2 linked regions of the Ovis aries genome follow. The protein of the gene in region 2 interacts with the protein of the main gene of each other region in a biochemical or structural test. Links are inferred from orthologs where the notes say so. Each region holds a gene or a part of one and is shown on either strand. Other genes may lie near its edges.

Region 1 (7,754 bases), on a different chromosome or scaffold from region 2:
CGCCCAGCTTCGCATCGTGCCCGCGGAAGGCTGAGAAGCTAGCCCACAATCCCCGTTCTGGCCTGGCCCAAATGAGCACGGACATCCGTACTCATTCCAGGGATCCTCCCCACGCCCACTGGGCAAATGTATTGAGAAGCACCCCGGACCTCCCTCCATATTCTCCAAATAGGACCTCAACTGGCCTTGTTTCCACATCCATGCCCAAAGCGGAGTTCTTGAACCTCCTTCCCTCCATCTCGGGATGCTCCTCCCCCTCGGTTATCTCAGTACTTCCCCCAGGGATCCCTCCCCTTCTATATTTCCCAGGCTTGGTTGGGGAACAGGTCCTGCCCCATCAGTACTGGTAAATGGCTCATTTTTAATACACAGAGGGCCAGCTGGTCAAATATTTACCTCCCACCCCTGCCCCTCCTCCTGGCAAAGAAGAGCACGGTGCCCTCTCCACAGCTCTGAGGTTTGGGCTTCCCTGCCTCCTCCACTCTAAGGTTTCTCTTCAAGACAAAGGAGACCTTCCTCCCCTAAAACAAGAGGCTTAACTCAGCCGGGGGCCTTAGGGCTCTCTTTTTTTTGGAGATACGGGGGCAGGACAGTTCTATTTCACCCTGACGACCTTCCATGCTTACAGCCATTTCCTGTTAAGAATCTTAACCAACAACCCGCTCCCCCACCAGCCCCACAGCCAGCTCCATATGAGCATGGTACATACTCATAACACGGAACCAATGGTGCTACCTCTCCTTTTCTCAACCTGGGAATGGCCCAGACACCCCAAATTTGCCCTTGTGTATATAGCCTCACTTTTTTCCCCATATGTATAAATGGGTCCATATTTAACACATTTTGTGATGTTGGGTTATTTATTTTGTGCATTTGTGGCAATAAATGAGATCTCAGTGGTGGTATGGATTTGACTGATCTCTGCAACCGTGCACAGCAAAAGGCCTGGAAAACGATATCCAGATCCCAATAAGGGGTGGGGAGGGCTGGGAGGGCTGGACGTCTGGGCTGGGAGAGACATCAAGGCCTTGGAAGGAAGGGGTGAGATTGCATCTCTTGGCTCCCTCCCTTTTCCATCCTCTCCCAGGGACCCAGGCCCCCGGGGCCGGGTTGGATCTGTCTCCTAAGTTGGAAGACCAAAGGCTGAGGAGATAGTGGGCTCTAAGTGACTAGTCTTGGAGCCAGTTTTGTCAGAAACCCTAGTCACATGAGAACAGTGAGGAGAGGACATGCCCATTTCTTTTTTCCATTTCTCATTAAAGGTGAAAATGACAAAGACCTCCCTCTCTCCTAACTCCTCTTAAGGGCTTGGGGGAAGTGGGCAGGAGAGGAGAGAAAGGGCTAGGAGCCCTGAGGTCTTACAAAAGACCTCACATCCCACAGGCAACGACTAACAGTTAGGATGACATAAATACATTAGTGGAAGAGCTCTAAAGCCAGGATTAACAAGCATAGCTGGAGCAAGATTGCCTGGAATCTGACTAGGACCCTGGCAGTGAAAGCTGGGGCTGCTGGAAACCCAATTTAGCTGTTTGGAACTCAAGTAGAGAGTGCAAGGGGCCAAGATAACTGGATCCCAGGACAGGCAGTTTGGCAGTGAGAACAAAGGAAAAAGATTGGGATCAAGATGCCTGGATCCCTGGAGAGAGGAGGCTGGGTATTGTAAGGAGAAATGAGGGCTGGGGGAACCCAGAAGCCTGGGTTCTGGAATAGCAGCAAGTCAGAATTCCAGGATCTCTGTCCACCTTCCTCTCCCTCTTCCCTCTGTCAGGCAGAGGAGAGGAGAGGAGGGGGCTGGAGAAGGGATCAAATCGTGGGTTTAGTCCCCGAGTAGCCACATGAGTACATTCAGGGCCAGACAGACACAGGAATGGTGGGGGAGCGAGGAATTTAGTGCTGCATTGGCCCTGGAGGGGGCTGGGAGGGGTCAGGAGGCTGGGGAGGGGTGGTGGGGCTTGGTCCCGGGGTTGCATGACGCCGTCCTTTGCGGTGGCCCCGCACACAGTGTGTATGACCACAGCCCTCCTCTTCCTCGTCATCACTCTCCGTGGAGCTCTCGCCAAAGGCCCGAGGTTTCTCATAAATACAGCAGCCTGGATTTGGATGGAGGAGCCCAGTGAAAAAGGAAGAAGAGTTCAGATGTAGCGTCAGTTCCATTCCCACTGGATCTCAGTCAAAACTCCTATTTCCTACTATCTTCTTCTACCTTCCAGATCCAGCTTTCCCAGGCCTACGCTCTGGGACTCTGTCACCCACCCACCTTGCCTTTCCAGGCAGGAATCCAAAGCTCCTCTTCTCCCACCTCAGATACCTCTTGACTTTAGGCCTTGGCACATCGAAATTCAAGCCCCTCCCTACCTCTTTCCCTCTAACTTTAACCTCCTCTCCTTGATACCAGAGAACCACCAAGGCAGCCACAGGACTGTGAGCATCTGGGGGCTTCGGGAAGGCCAGTGAATGCCAGAAGACAAAAGATATGCTGAGGGGAGCCAGGATTCCAGTGTTACTGTGGAGCAACAATTACTCACATTTTGATGAGCGGCGGCCCATGTGTTCATTGTCCACAGTGTCACTCGTCCATTCCACCTTTTTCTCTGGCTTCCGTTTCCGAAGTTTGATGGTTAGGCTCCGGTTCTCCTGGAAGGTTAAGAAGGATAGGCATACCTAGCTAGTCCCCTCCTACTAACTCTTCCCGTTTCCTCCCTGAGGCCTCCTTTCTTCCCTTCCCCAGTTCAATCAGGATCACAAACACAGCAACAGAGGAGCTGAGGCTGGGAGAAGATAAAACAGAACAGGTTTTTGACCTCAAGGAGTCCCTTGAGGAATTCTGTTCTTAGTAACCACTAGTATACAGAGAAGATACAATTCCTAACCTAGGGAAAGTCCCAGCAAATCTTCAAAGGAAAATATAATCCTTGCTGTTCCTCCGTCTTCTTCCCCAAATTATCCTTGGTGGTGTTAATACATGGAAATTATTTTCTCAATCACCAATCCCTAAACTTTGATCTCCCTTTCTTTTCCCAGAACGCCTGTTCTTTTTCCCATTAAAGAAATGACTATTCTCACATCTTTCATCCTCAAGCCCAGCCCTCCCAACCTGTTATCCACCTATTCTCCAGCATCCTGGCATCTCTAGTAACTATTACTCTAAACTCCCTTAATCAAAGGGTTATTAAGCCCGACAGGAACATCTCCCTTTGAAAGCAATGTTTTTGCAAAAATGTTGTTTTTCTCTACATGTCTAATTTTTCAAAATACTCCCATAATCTCCCTTTTCTTGTTCCCTCATTCCCTCTGCTTCCGTTTGCAATAATCCCTTCAAGAAATATTTATTGATAAGCATGCTTAGTGTCAAGTTTCTCTACAGCGAGTTTCCAACCATGCTTTCTCACACAACCCTTCATTTCCCCCAGCACATCCCTTGCTCATTAATCGCGAAGTTCCCGGTCTTTCAGTACTTACAGACACCACCATCCCAAGCAGTATCACCTACATCTTAACTCTATTGCATGTCACTTGACCAGCCTTCTGCACCAACTCTGACACACCAAAAAATCCCTAACACTCTGCGATTCCCCCACACCCACTTCCTCCCATATCCCTAGGCCCAGCCCATCCAGCAACTCTCCAAAGCTTTATCCCTTCCCTCCCGGTATCTCCCAGACCCCTGAACAGCACCGCCCCCAGCCTTTCTCACGGGCTCGGTTGTCACGGTAACCGTTGTCTCAGTGACGGTCTCACTCAGCCCGGCCCCTGCCTCCGCCATGGCTAAGGCTGAGAAGAGAGAGAAGCGGAGGAAAGGGGATGAGGCACCCTTCTGTCTTTTCTGTGTCTCTGAGGTCTAAGAGAATCGGTATCGATTCAGATTAGCAGCCAGGATCCTCCACCTTCTTTTTTCCCCCTCCTCCTGGGCCTCCGCTGCCCCACCCCTGGGGATAACCTGTCCAACCCCACTTCCGGCTCCCTACTTCCGGGTGTGACGCGTTCTGTGGTCCCCCTTTTCCCTTCCTGGCACTAAATGCGTCAAAGCGCCGGGTCGCCGGATTAGTTCCGCCGTAATGGGACAGTGCGCAGGCGCCGCAAGGAGGCGACACAACTTTGGCGGAAGAGGCGTCACTTTGGTACGGGAGCAGCAGGCGGGGCGAGCAATGACTGCATGGTCTTGCAACGCAGAGACTGAGCAGGAATCCGCGGTGGAGGTTAGAACTGGGCCTGTTCCTGAAGGCTGGGTACTGCACCCGGTTCAGACGTCCCGTAGCTGAGTCCATTCCATTGCGTGTGTGTGTGGGAGGGCGGAAAAAAATAAGGGGCAATAGTAATGATCCTACCACAGCCTAACTTCGTTTCCTTATTGTTTTGTCTGGGAATTAGGCAGTCGGGACCTGGGAGCAGCTGGAAACACACTTGATTAAGACTTTTAATCCTCCCTCTTGCCCATAGGGGTTGGAGCAGGGCGCTTAATACACCTTCAATATGGATTCTTTCCTGTCACTGGCGCATGAAACACTCAGAGTCTGCGTTTTAGCTCCAAGTCTACAACAACTAATGGGGAAGGCTGGAAAAAATACTAACAAAAATATAAGACATTAGAATATTAACATAGATGTAAGACTCATTTTACATCTATGAAATTAAAAGACGCTTACTCCTTGGAAGAAAAGTTATGACCAACATAGATAGTATGTTCAAAAGCAGAGACATTACTTTGCCTACTAAGGTCCGTCTAGTCAAGGCTATGGTTTTTCCTGTGGTCATGTATGGATGTGAGAGTTGGACTGTGAAGAAGGCTGAGCGCTGAAGAACTGATGCTTTTGAACTGTGATGTTGGAGAAGACTCTTGAGAGTCCCTTGGACTGCAAGGAGATCCAACCAGTCCATTCTGAAGGAGATCAGCCCTGGGATTTCTTTGGAAGGACTGATGCTAAAGCTGAAACTCCAGTACTTTGGCCACCTCATGGGAAGAGATGACTCATTGGAAAAGACTCTGATGCTGGGAGGGATTGGGGGCAGGAGGAGAAGGGGAAGACAGAGGATGAGATGGCTGGATGGCATCACTGACTCGATGGACGTGAGTCTGAGTGAGCTCCGGGAGATGGTGATGGACAGGGAGGCCTGGCATGCTGTGACTCATGGGGTTGCAACGAGTCGGACACGATTGAGCAACTGAACTCAACTGAAGACTCACCTGTGAAACTGAGTTTAGTCACATACTGCCTACACTTGCTCTGGGGTGGAGATGAGAAAGATTAAACACAGAAATGGTCATCAGTTCAGTTCAGTCACTCAGTTGAGTCCAGCTCTTTGCAGTCCCATGAATTGCAGCACACCAGGCTTCTCTGTCCATCACCAACTCCCAGAGCTTACTCAGACTCATGTCCATCGAGGTGGTGATACCATCCAACCATCTCATCCTCTGTCATCCCCTTCTCTTGCCTTCAATCTTTCCCAGCATCAGGGTCTTTTTAAATGAGTCAGTTCTTCTCATGAGGTGGCCAAAGCATTGGAGTTTCCGCTTCAGCATCAGTCCTTCCAATGAACATTCAGGACTGATTTCATTTAGGATGGACTGGTTGGATCTCCTTGCTGTCCAAGGGACTCTCAAGAGTCTTCTCCAACACCACAGTTCAAAAGCATCAATTCTTTGGCACTCAGCTTTCTTCACAGTCCAACTCTCACATCCATACATGACTAATGGAAAAGCCATAGCTTTGACTAAATGGACCTTTGTTGACAAAGTAATGTCTCTGCTTTTTAATAAGCTGTCGAGTTTGGTCATAACTTTTCTTCCAAGGAGCAAGCGTCTTTTAATTTCATGGGGCAGTCACTATCTGCAGTGATTTTGGAGCCCCCCAAAATAGTCTGTCACTGTTTACCTATCTATTTGCCATGAAGTGATGGGACCAGATGCCATGATCTTAGTTTTCTGAATGTTGAGTTTTAAGCCAACTTTTTCACTCTCCTCTTTCATTTTCATCGAGAAGCTCTTTAGTTCCTCTTCACTTTCTGCCATAAGGGTGGTGTCATCTGCATATCTGAGATTATTTATATTTCTGCTAGCAATCTTGATTCCAGCCTGTGCTTCATCCAGCCCAGTATTTCTCATGATGTACTCTGCATATAAGTTTTAAGCAGGGTGACAATATACAGCCTTGATATACTCCTTTCTCAATTTTGAACCATGTGTTGTTCCATGTCCAGTTCTAACTGTTGCTTCTTAACTTGCATACAGATTTCTCAGGAGGCAGGTCAGGTGGTCTGGTATTCCCATCTCTTTAAGAATTTTCCAGTTTGTTGTGATCCACACAGTCAAAGGCTTTGGCGTAGCCAATAAAGCAGATGTTTTTTTTCTGGAGCTCTATTGCTTTTTTGATGATCCAGTGGATGTTGGCTCCTTGATCTCTGGTTTCTCTGCCTTTTCTAAATCCAGCTTGAACATCTGGAAGATCATAAATTACAATATAAGCCAGTTTGTAAGATAAAAATAAGTATATGTTTCTCAAGGAGCAAAAGAGTGGTAAAGAACAGGCAAGCAGACGAATGAGTTTTTTAGGTAAAGAAAGCAGCGTATAAAGTACTTGTATGTACTGAAGAAAATGCATTCCTATATTTGCAGAGTACATTGTGAGAAACGCTGGGCTGGAAGAAGCACAAGCTGGAATCAAGTTTGCCAGGAGAAATATCAATAACCTCAGATATGCAGATGACACCACCCTTATGGCAGAAAGTGAAGAGGAACTAAAAAGCCTCTTGATGAAAGTGAAAGTGGAGAGTGAAAAAGTTGGCTTAAAGCTCAACATTCAGAAAACTAAGATCATGGCATCTGGTCCCATCATTTCATGGAAAATAGATGGGGAAACAGTGGAAACAGTGTCAGACTATTTTTTTGGGCTCCAAAATCACTGCAGATGGTGATTGCAGCCATGAAATTAAAAGATGCTTATTCCTTGAAAGGAAAGTTATGACCAAAAGATAGCATATGCAAAAACAGAGACATTACTTTGCCAACAAAGGTCCGTCTAGTCAAGGCTATGGTTTTTCCAGTAGTCATGTATGGATATGAGAGTTGGACTGTGAAGAAAGCTGAGTGCCAAAGAATTGATGCTTTTCAACTGTGGTGTTGGAGAAGACTCTTGAGAGTCCCACGGACTGCAAGGAGATCCACCCAGTCCATTCTAAAGATCAGTCCTGGGTGTTCATTGGAAGGACTGATGCTAAAGCTGAAACTCCAATACTGTGGCCACCTCATGCGAAGAGTTGACTCATTGGAAAAGACCAATGCTGGGAGGGATTGGGGGCAGGAGAAGGGGAAGACAGAGGATGAGATGGCTGGATGGCATCACTGCCTTGATGGACATGACTTTTAGTAAACTCCAGGTGTTGGTGATGGACAGCAAGGTCTGGCGTGCTGCGATTCATGGGGTTGCAAAGAGTCGGACACGACTGAGCTACTGAACTGAACTGAAGGAGAGTTCCAGATGATGACTGACAGGTAGGTGTGGTTATGAGGCCCTGTAAAGTTTGCAAGAAACTTGGAGATTATCCAGTCAGTGAAAGGCTTAAAATAGGACAGAGACATGAACAGATTTTACCAGATTTCAGGAGTGGGGCACTAAAGTCAATTACCAGAAATGTTCAAACACACAGTGGAGGAAGCTAACTTGCCCATCTGTCTAAGTTTCCATGGACAGTATATCAGTTCAGTTCAGTTCCATTTAGTCGCTCAGTTGTGTCCAACTCTTTGTGACCCATTAGAC
Region 2 (7,600 bases):
CTCAATAAAACTAGAAGAAAACAAAGCAAAACAAAGCCATAACGTGTCCATAACAAACTTGTTTCTTTCTTTTGAAGTCTGCCTCTCCTTTTCAACTCAAAGATTTGGCTGTGTAGCTTGTGTGATCTTAGTTCCCTGATCAGGGAGCTAAGCTACATAGCCAAAAAAATAATGTTCTTTAATCTTGCTCATCCCTCACTCTTGTAATAACATGCTAATTTTGTGATTCTTACTCATCTTGCACACTGAGGCATCTGTTATCTTTTTAAATCACAAATCACTTAATGGCTCCCAATTGCCTAAGACCAGTGGTTCTTAACCATGGCTGTGCAACAGAATCATCTGGGGTGTGGGGTTCAACCAATTGTATAAATGTATGATTTACATATAATAAATTACACTCATTTTAAGTATATAGTTCAATATGTTTTTGACAAATACACACACATGTATGTAACTATCACTACCAATAAAGATATAAAACATTTTCATCACCACAAATAGTTCCCACATATCCTTTGTCGGTCAAATTCCCCAAGTTTATCATTTCCCAAAGAGTTGGCCCCAAGCAATTTACTGCCAGCTTTCCATCAGTAAAGATAAGTTTTCCCTGCTCTAGAATCTCATACACATTGAACTAGACAATATTTACTTTTTTGCATCTGACTTCTTTTACTCAAGATCATGGCTTTGAGATTCAGTTATGGTGTGTGAATCAGTAATTTCTTCCTTTTTACTGTTGAGTAGTAGTCTGTGCTATGAAATTTCTCAAAATGTTATTCGTTCATTTGTTGATGGACATTTGGATAGTTTCCAGTTTGGAGCTATTATGAGTAAAGCTTCTATGAATATTTAGATACAAATATTTTCATCAACATATGTTTTCATTCCTCTTGGGTCAATACTTGGGAGGGTCAATGCTGGGTCTTAAGATAAGTGAATACTTAACTTTAGAAGAAACTATTTTCCAAAGTAGCTGCACCATTCTCCATTTCACCAGCATTGTAGGAGAGTTCCAGGCAGAAAGCCAGGACAAACATAGCTCATCTCGCTTGTTTCCCTTCTCTGGCACAGCACAGATCTGTACTGCCTGTAGTTCGGTGTCTGAAAATAATCGTTTCATTTATTTTGTCTAGTGTTTTCATTGTTGGGAGGGGAAGGCAAATCCAGTATCAGGAACACTGTCATGGCCAGAGACAAAGTCCACATGGGGAGCATCTTAAAAAATATGCCTGACTGGGCTCCCATACTAACTAAATCTGAGTTCCTGCATTGCGAATGGGAGGGGAATTCTCTGTGCATGAGCCTTGAGAATCATTGGCCCAGTGCATAATATTTGATCTTTTCACTAAGGCGAGACCCCTCAGCACCTGTCCTGCATCTCCAGACTAGATGGCAATCACATGCTCCAACCCCAACCATCTTTTATCATTTCTCCTAAGGTTCAGCCATGTGGTATTTTACCAGCATGAACATGGTATTTCAAACCCATGTCTTTCCCTGTGGTCCTTTTAGGTTCAAAGTTTATCAGGAGCACTTATCCTTCAAGACTGGGGCAAAATGCCATTGGCTTTATGGGATATAAGGAAGATCCAGGGATTTCTAGGGCAGAATGTTGTACTAATTGAAAAAGACGGTTGTACTTATTGGACAAGATGTTGGACGAGATGGTTGGATGGCATCACCGACTCAACGGACATGAGTTTGAGCAAACTCCTGGAGACAGTCAAGGACAGGGAAGCCTGGCATACTGCAGTCCGTGGGGTTGCAGAGTGCGACACGACAGAGCGGCTGAACAACAAATATTGTACTAAAAAGAACATTGGGATAACCAACAAATGCAAGGCTTATCCGCTACCACCATTCACAACAGGGTGAATTTAGTGGTTACTTGTCATCAGTTTTCCTCGGGTATAACACGGAATAACAATACTCACCTAGAGCAGTAGACAAGAGAACACAAAGAACGCACCCAGCACGGTGTACGCAGCAGGTGCGAACAGAATATTTCGCTTCACACCCATATTCCACTCCTAACATTTCCTGCAAAGTTTCACTGCAAATGGCATTTACTCTGTTTATATCTCTTTTCCTCCGCTAGACTGTGAGGTTTATAATGACCAGGACTACTTCCTTTTCACTTTTGTGTCTGGGGTCATAGAAAAAACCTGTGATAAGACAGGAGTTTGAACAAATAACAGATGAATAAAGAGAATTTAGGAGTCTCTAGCTGTAATCGCCGGAGAAGGCAATGGCACCCCCTTCCAGTACTCTTGCCTGGAAAATCCCATGGGCGGAGGAGCCTGGTGGGCTGCAGTCCATGGGGTCGCGAAGAGTCGGACAAGACTGAGTGACTTGAGTTTCACTTTTCACTTTCATGCACTGGAGAAGGAAATGGCAACCCACTCGTGTTCTTGCCCGGAGAATCCCAGGGACGGGGGAGCCTGGTTGGCTGCGGTCTATGGGGTCGCACAGAGTCGGACACGACTGACGCGACTTAGCAGCAGCAGCAGCAGCTCAATCGCAAAGAGAGTTTACGGGGTTCTTTCTCAACAACACTTCACGCTTTGGGGACGACGCGCCACCCAATCCTTGGCAGGGAAACGAGAGAATATGACCGAGATTGGAAAAGTAAGGTGGCACTTTCCATCAGATGAACTCTCCAGAAGTCATTGCCACCACTGGGTAAAGAAATCCGCAAGTCCGTGCTGCCCTTCTCAGAAGGGAAAACTCTGAGCCAACTTCCTTTAAGGAAAGGAGCAGTACCGGACAGGTGGGCGGGTGCCGGAAGAGGGGCGCGCGGGGGGGCGGGGGAGGCGGGGGCTCACAGGGACCGCCCCGCCCCGCCGTTGCCAGGCAACCGGCCCCGGAAGTCGCGGGAGGCGCGTCGGCGGCGGCGCCGGGAGCGGTGAAAGATGGCGGAGGGCGGCGGCGGAGAGGCGGGCGAGGAGGCGCCGAGGGCGGCGGGGCCGCGGCCCCCAAGCGCGCGGGACTTGCAGGTGCGGCGGGCGGTGCGGCTGGGGAATGTGTGGGGCCGTTCCGGTCGCGGTCGAGCTTCCTCAGACCCGCCCGGGGACCGAACTCGGACTCCGTGGGTCTCCCCCGGGCAGCACGCCGGGCAGGGGCGTCGGGAGAAACGAGTGTCGGCGCCCCGCGCTCTCAGGTGTCCCGGCGGCGTTTCCCCTCCACCCCTCTTGCCGTTTAAGAAGCATCTGTTGATTCCGAATGGCTTCTTTGAAGGGTCAGTTGAATGCTTCACTGGTTGACGCTCCGGTCAGACTTCTGCAGAAGGAAACTCTGAGGTGGCCGTGGGGAAGTCGAGTCACAGGGAAGCCGGTTTGGTCTTGTTTCTCTCGGATGCTGTTTCTGGCTTATTTAAATGTAACGGTTTGGTCTTGTTTCTCTCGGATGCTGTTTCTGGCTTATTTAAATGTAAAAATGGTTCCTTTTTAATCAGAGATTTTCCCTTTCAAAGTGAACTAAAAAGGTATTTCATCCTACGGCTCGCACCCTGGTCGGCTCGCACCCTGGTCGTAACTGCTATAGGGTAGAAAACATTGCATCTAAGAAACGGGGATGTAAAACTTTGTAATGTTACAGGACATTGACATTAATGGCCTCGATACCAGCGCCCCGAGTCTTGCTCTGCCAGGTGCTTCAGGCTACTCATTTCAGGGTGTTTTTTTTAACTGTCCCTTTGTAAGATGATTGATAAAATTCAAACAGTAAAGATCTCTGTGTGCTCAGTCGCGGTTTGCGACCCCATGGACTGTAGCCCGCCAGGCTCCTCTGTCCATGGGATTCTCCAGGCAAGAATACTGGAGTGGATTGCCATTTCCTTCTCCAGGGGATCTTCCCAACCCAGGGATCGAACCACCATCTCCTTCATTGGCAAGTGGATTTTTTTACCACTGAGCCACCTGGGAAACCCCAGATGCCTATGGGGACTATAATTAAACATGAATGTCACTCCATCTACAAGGCTTGGTAGAAAAGGTCTATTATAATTCTTTATTGTCACACCTTCATTCTGCTTCTTTAAACGAATGTATGTTGACCACCTGCCCTGTAATATACTACTAAGCTCTGGGAATGCAGAGATAAATAGTACATCAAATCCACAGTTGGTGCTGGAACACCGTGGAAGGGCCTAGAAGCGTGAAAGGCATTTCTACCCATTGTTTACCTAAATAAGATACACATGTATTTAACCTAACACTTTAAAGATGGAGGATGATTGAGTGCCAGGATAAGCAGTGCATACAGTGATGAATTTGGAGAATGGAGTAATCAGTGTCAGCTTAGGAAACGAACTCAGTGTATTGATAAAACATTTGCAGTATTTATGACTCAATTTAGTAGTGGTAAACAGAATCCAGGAGTAGGAAGGTTTCATCTCCCTGATCTTGTCTATTGAAGGCCAGCATCACTAAGACGCAGCATGTGCCCTTGGGGGAAAATGGTGTTCCTGGTCAGAACAACTTCAGCTTGCTTCTTGACCTTGGTGCTTAGTAGTTACCTGAGTGTAGGAGAAATGTCCTAACCTCTCGGATCCTGTGTCTTTATTCATAAACTCAGGATTGTTGATCACAGGTGTCAAGGATGAAATAAAGGAATGTCTATAAAGTGCCTCTTCAGTCCAGTATTACCCTGGCTCAGACTTGCTTACTAAATACTTGGTTCTTTTTCCCTTAAAGGAGAAAAATACTGTAACTTTCACTGGTTAGTCCATCTAATGCTATTAAGTTAAAACTATGTGACCTAATATCCTTTGTCTAATTTAAATCTATTTCTTCTTATGTGAAAAATGAGAATAGCTTGGTTAATGATCACCTCATACTTGTCAAATTTAGACTGAGTCCACTGGATTGATATGATTAATTGTTGGAAATGTTGTAGATATCGCTAGTTTTGAGAATGCCTTCCTTTCCACCATCAATTAGAAAATAAACTCTTTTTTTCCAGTGTCCTATCTACTTTTCGGTAGGTAGATAACTGATTTTTTTTTATGAATGTGATTTGGCATTCCAAATACATTAAGTATTGATAATGTTTATTTTAGAATTTAATAAGAATGTGAAGAATATGCAAAGAAACCCCAGAACAAAAGAACCAAAGTAATGACATATGAAGAAATAGTGTGTATCAAAGGTTTAAAAGAATTGGATAATGTTCTCCCCAGCTGGTTTCTTGGATAGTGAATATTTTTGGATTATCTTTTTATTGTTTAATCTAGCTGTGCTTATTTTAAGCATTACCCAGTTAGTTCAGTTTTCAGTAGATACTTCTTAATTTCCTGACAACTTGCTCGAAGAGTCTTTCACAGTATTATTGAGGAGAGAAAGGTGGTGTGTTACTAATTGGAACAAGCAGAAGTACTGCTTAGTGCCTATTTCTCAGCTGCCGTGCAGTGTAGGGTTTGTCAGCCTCTAAATTAGGAGAGATTTCCTCATTTACCACACCAGGAAAGATGGATGGTCGGCCCCCAAAAGCCTCCCAGCGCAGTGAGCCTCTGACTCTAAAAGCAGAAATTTCCTGTGGGTCCCACATTAAGAGTAGATTTTATCTCCCTTCCTCCTCCAGAATTGGAAACATTAAAGGGGGAAGTTTGGGACAGGAGTGTTAGTGACAGTGTGTAGGTACTCAGTCGTGTTCAACTCTTTGTAACCCCATAGACTGCAGCCCGCCAGGCTTCTCTGTCCATGGGATTCTCCAGGCAAGAATACTGGGAGTGGGTTGCCATTTCCTACTGCAGGGGATCTTCCCTACCCAGGGATCTAACTCGCGTCTCTTCTATCTCCTGCACTGGTAGGTGGGTTCCTTTCCTCTGCACCACCTGGGAAGCTCTTAAGTGGCACTTGTTGTTGAATCACTCATTTGTGTCCAACTCTGTGACTCCATGGACCACAGCACGCCAGGCTTCCCTGTCCTTCACCAACTCCTGGAGCTTGCTCAAGCTCATGTGCATCGAGTTGGTCGTGCCATCCAACCATCTCATCTTCTGTTGTCCCCTTCTCTTCCTGCCTTCCATCTTTCCCAGCATCAGGGTCTTTTCCAATGAGTTGGCTCTTTGCATCAGGTGGTCAAAGTGTTGGAATTTCAGCTTCAGCATCAGTTCTTCCAATGAGTATTCAGGGTTGATTTCCTTTAGGATTAACTGGCTTGATCTCCTTGTAGTCCAAGGGACTCTCAAGAATCTTCTCCAGCACCACAGTTCAAAAGCATCAGTTCTTTGGCGCTCAGCCTTCTTTATGGTCCAGCTCTCACATTCATACGTGACTACTGGAAAAACCATAGCTTTGACTATTCAGATCTTTGTTGGCAAAGTAATGACAAAGTGACAGTACTCAGCCCCAAGACCTCAGTGTTCGTTAGTAGTTCTGAACGTCCTCAGAGCCCTTTGTCTCTTGTCATGCCCTTCCCTCTATCCACACACATGGAGTTAACAGATTAGGTACACTCTGTTCCAGATTTCCTCCAGAATGATACATATCAAAAGAGAAAGATTTCTGTTTTTATTTCTTTGTTTCCATATAGGTTGGAGTTGGGGAAAAATTGGGGCTAACTTAAGTACTTACCAGGGTTTGGAATAGGCTTTGGATGGGGCAGAGAAGAGAGTTCCGTCAGTGAGAAAAGAGTAAGACTGTCTGGGACTTTCATCCTCTTGGTGTCAGTGTCCCTTATCCTTGGTTCTCAGTTTTGACGTGCATCAGAGTCACCTGAACGGTTTGCTCAAGCAGATTCCTGAGCCCCACCCTGAGTTTCTGATTCTTTTGGTCCAGGGCAGGGTTTGAGCACCTGCAGTTTTAAAAGGCCCCCAGGTGATGCTGATGTCGCTCTTCTAGATTTAAGTCTGTATTATACCTTCTGGGCTTCCCAGGTGACTCAGGGGTAAAGAATCTGCCCGCCTGTATAGGAGATGCTGGTTCAGTCCCTGGGTTGGTAAGATCCCCTGGAGGTGGGCATGGCAGCCCACTGCAGTATTCTTGCCTGGAAAATCCCATGGACAGAGGAGCCTTGCAGGCTAAGGTCCACCAGGTCACAAAGAACAGGACTGAGCGAGTAAACAATAACATTATACCTTCTGGCAGTTGTCTCTCTAAGACTGGGAGTTCCAGTACTTTGAATCTTTTGCTGTGTTGTTGATATTCTTATCCACAGTTTCAGGTTCTTCTCACACATTCATCACATTTCCAGCTCTAGAGAAAAAATTACCTGTGCTTACATACTTTATTCTCTCTGTGTGATTGAAATATTGCATAATTTAGTTGTTTAGCTCATGGAAATCTGTCCTGATAATTAACAGTGCATAATTATTTCACAATGCATATATTTTTATCTCTTTATTTGACTGAGATTTTTCTGTCATTTTCTATTGGTTTTAACCAGTACATCAGTTTATTTTCTCTTCAGATATGGTGTCATTTGCTATGTCAAATAATATTAATTAGCTAATGAATTTATGCCGTATGATGCTATAGGGACATCATGGATCCTTGCATTAATTCCCTTTAAATATCATTCATTTTCTTCTAAGTTAATGATGTGCCAAAAATAACTAGGACCTTTCAGCTCGTTGGACTCCCTGGTCTGATGTAAT

Evidence for each region. The genes of interacting proteins can lie anywhere in the genome.
Region 1: the proteins of UBXN2B (region 2) and PPP1R11 form a complex in vitro, tested with the Homo sapiens proteins (2 studies listed by BioGRID). The link is inferred for Ovis aries from reciprocal best matches to the Homo sapiens genes UBXN2B and PPP1R11.

Annotation. Positions count from the first base shown.
Region 1 is NC_056073.1:27,941,576-27,949,329, forward strand, and holds PPP1R11 (E3 ubiquitin-protein ligase PPP1R11), read right to left. Parts: upstream 3,977-7,754; 5' UTR 3,767-3,976; coding exon 3,698-3,766; intron 3,670-3,697; exon of another isoform or gene 3,475-3,669; coding exon of another isoform or gene 3,463-3,474; intron 2,638-3,462; coding exon 2,529-2,637; intron 2,094-2,528; coding exon 1,891-2,093; 3' UTR 842-1,890; downstream 1-841. Other genes in the region: RNF39 (RING finger protein 39), read left to right, coding at 1-34. UniProt on the Homo sapiens protein: Atypical E3 ubiquitin-protein ligase which ubiquitinates TLR2 at 'Lys-754' leading to its degradation by the proteasome.
Region 2 is NC_056062.1:37,585,073-37,592,672, forward strand, and holds the start of UBXN2B (UBX domain-containing protein 2B), read left to right. Parts: upstream 1-2,892; 5' UTR 2,893-2,915; coding exon 2,916-2,999; intron 3,000-7,600. UniProt on the Homo sapiens protein: Adapter protein required for Golgi and endoplasmic reticulum biogenesis. Involved in Golgi and endoplasmic reticulum maintenance during interphase and in their reassembly at the end of mitosis.